2 linked regions of the Coturnix japonica genome follow. The protein of the gene in region 1 binds, or shares a complex with, the protein of each later gene. Links are inferred from orthologs where the notes say so. Each region holds a gene or a part of one and is shown in the gene's direction. Other genes may lie near its edges.

What was found.
Region 2: the proteins of CSTF3 (region 1) and CSTF1 are in contact, whole or in part, in a crystal structure (PDB 6B3X), measured with the Homo sapiens proteins. The link is inferred for Coturnix japonica from reciprocal best matches to the Homo sapiens genes CSTF3 and CSTF1. Residues at the interface, in NP_001317.1 of Homo sapiens: Tyr581, Pro582, Lys583, Pro584, Asp585, Thr586, Gln588, Met589, Ile590, Pro591, Phe592, Pro594; in NP_001028693.1 of Homo sapiens: Arg118, Glu216, Ala217, His226, Pro227, Ser228, Asp230, Phe231, Thr240, Arg242, Leu243, Tyr244, Cys251, Phe252, Val253, Ser254, Cys255, Tyr270, Ser272, Ser273, Ala274, Asn275, Gly291, Val292, Ser293, Asn294.

What each region holds. Positions count from the first base shown.
Region 1 is NC_029520.1:4,222,040-4,225,859, forward strand, and holds part of CSTF3 (cleavage stimulation factor subunit 3), read left to right. Parts: coding exon 1-21; intron 22-415; coding exon 416-532; intron 533-1,096; coding exon 1,097-1,171; intron 1,172-2,436; coding exon 2,437-2,580; intron 2,581-2,671; coding exon 2,672-2,774; exon of another isoform or gene 2,775-3,144; intron 3,145-3,258; coding exon 3,259-3,328; intron 3,329-3,820. UniProt on the Homo sapiens protein: One of the multiple factors required for polyadenylation and 3'-end cleavage of mammalian pre-mRNAs.
Region 2 is NC_029535.1:10,848,632-10,852,551, reverse strand, and holds the end of CSTF1 (cleavage stimulation factor subunit 1), read left to right. Parts: coding exon 1-3; intron 4-731; coding exon 732-929; intron 930-1,461; coding exon 1,462-1,852; intron 1,853-2,478; coding exon 2,479-2,738; 3' UTR 2,739-3,392; downstream 3,393-3,920. UniProt on the Homo sapiens protein: One of the multiple factors required for polyadenylation and 3'-end cleavage of mammalian pre-mRNAs. May be responsible for the interaction of CSTF with other factors to form a stable complex on the pre-mRNA.

The sequences.
Region 1 (3,820 bases):
AAGCTGCTAGCTGAAAAAGGGGTAAGGAGAATGCTGATAGCTTTTTATTTTTCCCTTGTTTAATTGCTTTAACACGGTGTATCGTTATTAATGTTTTCTCAATTGATATCCAAGGGGGGGGGGGGGGGGGGATGAAAAATCTCGAGCATCTGAAGTTTTGTTGCATTCTGTATTTTTAAATATGGAGCTATTTTAATGTAAAAACAACAAAACAACCCTGAATCTGGGTGATATGAATTACAATAACCTGCTGTGGAGTTGTCTGGTTTAAGGTTGGGGTTTGTTTCTGATTCCTTCCGTACCGGGGAGATGAGTGACTCCTTATGAGGGCGCTCAGTGGAACTTGTTGTGTAGAAGAGCTGATCCATGGGCGGGCTGCAGGCGTTGAACTATTGTCGTGTTTATTTTATAACAGGACATGAACAATGCTAAACTTTTCAGCGATGAGGCTGCTAATATTTATGAGAGAGCCATCAGCACTTTACTAAAGAAGAATATGCTTCTCTATTTTGCGTATGCAGATTATGAAGAGGTGAGCAAAGAGTGCAGTAGTGCCATAAAACCCACAGATATCTGTCTTCGATATGGTTGTATTCCTGAAACATACCAAATAGACAATCTGAGCATTTTACTTACTGATTCTTCTGACTTTCATCCAATGATTCTGAGACTAGGCAGGCGAAATGGGGAGAAAATAGTGTTAATTGTTTTGAAAGCGTAATGTCTTTCTGCTTCAATGTTAACTCTTCAGCTTCACAGCAGTTTGAAAAATGAACTGAGTAGTTTACATTTACCAGAGCATCAGTTTCTTCACTTACAAAATAGGATAAGAGACGTCCCATCGATCAGATGAGGACCAATGCATCCACAGTGGGGTGTATTCTGCCCACTTATTGTGCCTTGAGAGTCTTTGCAGGAAGAAATGGAGCATAACAGCAAACAAATCTTCAGCCTTAAAGAAAAAGGCTCCCTTGGCTTTCAGGGCAGCCTTGAGTATGGGCTCTTTTTCTTTACTTCATACTGATCTTTGCATCCCCACAGGTGGTTTGTAGCAGTGTTACTAAGCAGTCTGTATTTCCCTTTTATGTGCTTTTAGAGTCGAATGAAGTATGAGAAAGTGCACAGCATCTATAACCGGCTCTTGGCTATTGAAGACATCGATCCCACTCTGGTAAGATGATCTCCTGTATTGGGTTCTTCCACATTTGCATCTCCACCTGAGTACACCCACCACACTGACCTGAGTTCTTTGGGTCACAAGGAGAGCTGAGCAGGTGGAGTGCTGAGATGGCAAAACTGGATTAGAATTTCAGCTGCTTTGGTAACTTCAGGCTGTCACCCATCCAGACACACCAAGTCACGCACACTTTTATCCTCTGTGTCTTTTGGACAATCTCTTCAAATAAATTATGGAGGTGTCACGTTTTATAAGAAAGCTCCTAAGAATTGGTGCAGCTAAAATCTCCCTTTGCCTCCCCTGAACAGACTAAAAGCACGTCGCTTTCGTCTCTTGCCTTTCTTAGAGAAATATATTATTCTGTTTATAAATAAGCTTGCCAAGAAAATTGTAGTTCACCACGTAGCTATCAAGGTGTATTGCTGTGCATCTACCTTTGTTGTGCTGTAACAGCTTTGTTCCCAGCGCCAGCTGTGCTGGTACAGAGCAAATAGGCTGAGAGCTAACCTAACTGACTTAGTTTGTAATATAGATGTGACAAAGCAGAAATAAAAAGGTCTGAGGTCTAAAATTAAGCAGGTTGGTGCCAGAGGAAAGGTATCCATTTACTGACGTATTCTATTCATTAAGCAAAGATTACAAAGCTTTCCTTACATGTGTACTCTGAGAAGGCACAGAGCAGCCCCTCCCATTGGAGGAATGCAGTTATTTGTGATCTAATTGTGAGTGGAGCAAGAAATGCAAATGACGGGATTAACCCATGAAATTAGATAGGACATTCTTTACATTTTGATCAGGTGTAGCTATTTGCAGACAGCACAACCTGTGTCTTGGGTTCCATAATGAAGAATAAAAGGCTTCCATGGGCTTTTTGCCTGTTCTTTAGCCCTGTGGGTGTCTTTGCTTCTTGGAAAGTTGTTATTTCTACAGGAAATCCTCTTTCTCAGGAGGTACAAGCTTATGGGAATCGCGTTTATCTACTTCCCCTGCCTTGAGGAAAGTGTGTATGAATGTGTGTATGAACTGTTGTCACTCTGGGGGATTGGTCTGAGGTCTTTTCCATTTTTCAAATCAGTATATGGAAAATACTGCCTCGTTTTTAGCATAGCAACACAGAGACACAAGACAGTCCTGTTTGTTTCTTAGACAACCTGTTAGCTGTAATTTGTGAGTAAGGATTATTTCAGGTCCAGCCACAAACCGCATATCCTAGCACTCTTTGTTATCACTGCAGCTAGTGTTCATATGCTCCCTTCTAGGTTTATATCCAATACATGAAATTTGCAAGGCGAGCAGAAGGCATAAAATCTGGAAGAATGATATTTAAAAAGGCAAGAGAAGACACCCGGACCCGCCACCATGTCTACGTCACTGCAGCATTAATGGAGTATTACTGCAGTAAGGTAAGTATAGGTGCTCGGCTTGCTATTAAAGAAGCATGGGATAGCATGCGTCTCACTGAAGCTTGGAACTTTTTCTTTTTAACGTTTGCAGGATAAATCTGTGGCCTTTAAGATTTTTGAGCTGGGGCTGAAAAAATACGGAGACATTCCAGAATACGTACTGGCATATATCGACTACCTGTCTCACCTTAATGGTAAGCTTCACACACTGAGATGCACAAGGAAGCAGTAGGCTGTGTCCTCTGTGAGCTGAATGTAGGTAGATCTTTGTTCTTCTGCCACCTGTAAGCATAAAGACTGTTTTATTTCAAGTCAGAGTGACAGTAGTTATGTAAGAAGTTGTTGTAGGTCTCTGTGAATAAACGCAAGGCCTTTCTTCAGTTTTCCATCACTGCTCGTTGGGGACTGAGAATTTCTGGTCTAATAACTATGGAGGAATATACAACAGAGACACTGCCCTCATTTAAAAGGGGTGTAATGAACTGAAGGGCCCAAATAAGTTACTGAGATACGCTATATATCGTATCCACGTTTGGATTTTGTTCCAATTACTGACAAACAAATCAAGGTATCAGAATGTCAGTCTTCAATGCAGTATCCACACTGAAATGTGATGTGTTTTACTCAGAGTGATTTTTCTTTCTTTCTCTTTTTTTTTTTTTCCTTCTCTTTTTAAAGAGGACAACAACACAAGAGTTTTGTTTGAGCGTGTTTTGACTTCAGGGAGCCTCCCGCCTGAGAAATCAGGGTACGTCTGCCAAAGCTGCTTCACTGCACTGAATAAAGCACTTTCATGTACAAACAGCACAAAGTAACAAGGGAAAAAGAAAGACCAGCGGGACAAAATTAGCCACACATATTCCTTTTCTCCCTTAATGCCATCCAAATAGCAGCCGAGCTGATTTGTGCAGGTTCCCATCCCGCTTGCAGAGACATTCATTCATTTGTTGATTTTAAGACCTTGTAGATGTGGAATTGTTGAGGATAAAGTGCAAAATCCTGTAGCGTGGTGAGAACTCAGTAGTTTTAGTAGGTGGTGTGGCTTATGCCACATGTTGCTCACTGGTGCTTTGGACAGATGAGGATAGGGAGCTGAGGGTGTCCCTCAGAACCATTAGATTTAGAGTTTAAATCATCGTCTGTGCTGAAAATCCCTCATGTGACAGGGTCACAGTGCAATTCTGTTAGCAGAGGAGCAGTCTGTACCTCTGACACTGATAAAAGCATACCTCCATACCTC
Region 2 (3,920 bases), on another chromosome or scaffold:
GAGGTAAAATATGACTTGAATCATAGTCACTGTGTGAATTCTTGAGCTGATGTCTCTGTTTCGTGCCATGTCTGTGCCTTGTGGCTGGCTCAGTGGGTTGGACTAAATATCTGTCTCAGTGTATTTCCTATTCCAACAATGGCTTATAAAGTACCCTTGAAGAACAGGTAGAAGACACGGAGCAAGTGTACCTGTGTCACCTTGCAGCATTCTAGAGAGCTGAGCCAGAAATTGCTTCTAATAGATGTTGATAATCTCTATTACCATGCAAACAGTTTGGTTATGAATCTACCTTCATATCTGACCTTCCAAGTTCACAGTGGCTGTTTCAGTACTGTTTCACAGAGCACATATTTGCTTCCTTTACTTTTTCTCTAGCATGCTTATCTGCCAACAGTTGAAGGGGTTTTTTTGGGTTTGTCTTGAGTTCTTGTTATTTTTTTCCACTGAATGCACACCAGATTTACTACATGATCCTTGAGGTCCCTTCCAACCCGGGTCATTCTGTGATTCCCTGCAGTACTTTTGTAAAGATACTGGGATGTTATTTCATAAGAATTCATAACTGTATAAAGGTATCACGTCTTCAGATAATTAAGATAAGTGATAACGTACCAAGTCATATGTCAGAAAAGGTAGTGATATAATCACTCATGCAAGTGAAAATAGTACGTTCCCTGTCAAAGGAGTGTTCTGCCTTCTAACTCTAACTTGTTCAATGTTCTTTGTAGGTCATGATGAATGAGACAGCACAGCAAAACATGGAAAATCACCCTGTTATTCGGACTCTGTATGATCATGTGGATGAAGTTACATGTTTAGCTTTTCATCCGACAGAACAGATCCTAGCATCTGGTTCAAGGGACTACACACTTAAATTGTTTGACTATTCAAAACCTTCTGCCAAAAGAGCCTTCAAATACATACAGGTTAGATACAGTCATCCAATTCAGAGCAACCAAATCTTGAATGTGTGATTATTGAGGTGTCAGTGAGCTGAATTGCATCAGGGTATGCAAGTGGTTGGGTACATAGGAGTATGCAGCTACAAAATGGGCAGACCTGCTAGTAATGCATTGTGAGTTTGTGCATAATGGATAGCTATACCTATAGGTGTAGTCTTAGAATCTCATGGATCTAATATGGATGACTCTGAAGTCAGCTGCATTTTCTTGGTTCTGGAGACAAGTTTGTGATTATGTGGTGGCTGACAAAACCTGCTGCTGTTGTACACTATCTGATGGATGGGCACAGCAAGCTGCTCTAGGGCAAAAACTATGGTACATTTCAGTGTGACCTGACAAATAATACACAGGGTGTTTTCTATTCTGCAGAAATAGAGCATGTGCTGATTGATAATGTAGTTTATTTTTTAGCATTTTAGTGCCACCAGGATTGCCACTTCAATTTTTGCTTTTTCTTTTTCAACTGACACCAATTATGTATTTTTTGATCAAACAGGAAGCAGAGATGTTGCGCTCAATCTCTTTCCATCCTTCTGGAGATTTCATACTTGTGGGTACCCAGCACCCTACTTTACGACTCTATGATATCAATACTTTCCAGTGTTTTGTGTCTTGCAATCCTCAAGATCAGCACATCGATGCCATATGTTCAGTCAATTACAACGCCAGTGCAAACATGTACGTGACGGGCAGTAAGGATGGATGCATCAAACTGTGGGATGGTGTTTCAAATCGCTGTATCACTACTTTTGAGAAGGCACATGATGGAGCTGAAGTCTGTTCTGCGATTTTCTCCAAAAATTCCAAGTATATCTTGTCAAGTGGAAAAGACTCTGTAGCTAAACTGTGGGAGATATCTACTGGTCGGACGCTGGTCAAGTACACAGGTACGTGGCAGCTGACCTTCCAGGGACCTTTATCACGTGCTGGCCAGTGAGCAGGTGGTGTATGAAGAATGAGATGTTACTGCTGTTACTCATAAGGAGAGACTGCTTTTGTGAGGATAAATGGCCCCAAAAGTTGAAAATGTACAATACTTCCAGAAGAAAAGCTGTGTCAGTGTCAACCTATTTAACTTGAGCAATGAGTTACATGACTGGGGTTAGCTTTCGGATAAAACAGTCATGTGCTTAACATCTGGGGTCATAACACGACTGTAGAGTGGGTGCTGGTGGAAAAGAACCGGATATCACTGTTAGGATGTGTGCAGTCCTTGTGCACTGGCTGTGTTTGCTGCCAACCAGCAGGGTGCAGCACCTCCTCGATAAAGACTTGCAAATACCCGGTGGGATGCAGCAGTGTATTCCTTGCAACATAAATGTGTAAATGGGAAACAGATTCTCTTTGAAGGGAGAGGTAGAGGTGTGGCTGAAGTACATCATGAGGCACGTTAGGTGGCCTGCATGTTAAAACCAGAAGTTATTAACGATAATGAGAATCTGTGTTTTTGGGTCATTGGGGAGAAAAACTAAAAGTGATCTTATTTGGTTTGTATTTTACTTCACGTATTCAGGAGCTGGTTTGAGTGGACGTCAGGTGCACAGGACACAAGCAGTCTTCAACCACACGGAAGACTACGTGCTGCTGCCAGATGAAAGGACCATAAGTCTCTGCTGCTGGGATTCGAGAACTGCTGAGCGAAGAAATCTCCTTTCTCTTGGGCACAACAGCATTGTCCGCTGTATTGTCCATTCTCCCACCAACCCCGGCTTCATGACCTGCAGTGATGACTACAGGGCTAGATTTTGGTACAGAAGGTCAACAACAGATTAAGGACACCTTTATAAAAGAATGATTATCCAGATTCCTTATATCATCTTCTATTGATTGTACTGCCAACAGATGCCTAAGTGAGAGCTACGCTGTGTCTGGTTTTTGTTTTGTGTTTCTGATTCTGTCAGAGGGCAGAAAAATATTGAAATACTGAAACTGAAGTTTTGCCCCACGCTAATTTTTTTTATTAGTGTGCGTGGCATTAATTTTTTTTTTTTAAAGTCATCTCTGATTTTACTCAAGGAGTTGGGGTGTGGAATAAAATGATCCTTGCAGGAAGGATTAAACTTATTCTCCTGTCTTTCTGAATCCTGTGAAAGATAATGTGACTAAATCTTGCTCAAACTGGGCAGTGTGAGCCGGTTTTGCTCTGCATTGTATCTGTGCAATCCCCCTAAAGTCTGTTTAAAGAATGGATTACACGAGCGACGGTAGAACTCGGCGAATGTTTTAATGAAGCCTTAAGCCATCTTCGGTTCCGATTCACGCTTTGAAGCTCTTTTATATCTTTCAGTTTCTTTCCCTCAGTTGGCCAAGTGGGCCTCTGGTTCTGAGCCGGTTTTGTGCCATAAGAATTTGAAACGTGGTTTTAAATTGTTTAGATGAATTGAAGAAATGGTGTTCTAGTTCTGATATTAAAGTTCAGACTTGAAATCTCGTCTTCTTTACAATTTATCTTAAGTGTAATCTTTAAAGTAAATTCAAGGAATATTCATACTGAAGCTATTCAATGTGGCAGTGCTGCAGCATATGGAAATGAGAGTAACCTGGCTATAGAGTCCCTTTAGTAACTCCTCTGAGAAACTTGTAACGTTGATTTTCTTCATATATGTATGTCGGAAATGTAAATGTGCTTCATTTAGGAGTTCTCATTCCATCAGTCTGTTAGACAGGAATTGAGACACTTTGAATTTAAAAACAGTCTCATTGTTTCTTCTACCTGTTGTGTCTGATAGTCGGAGTTTCCCAGATCTTACTGTGTTCATTACAAGTACAGAGCAGCAAGAAATGTGTGCTTAAAACTTCTGTACGTTTGGAAATTCATTGCATGTTCTTATAGATGAGGTTTATTATCTGGTCTCTGTAGCTTTAAGAGACCCTTTATGCATTCCATCTGCAGCATAGTGTGGTACAGTGCTTTTCAGATTCACATTTGGGAATAAGTTTCCTTTAGTCATAAGC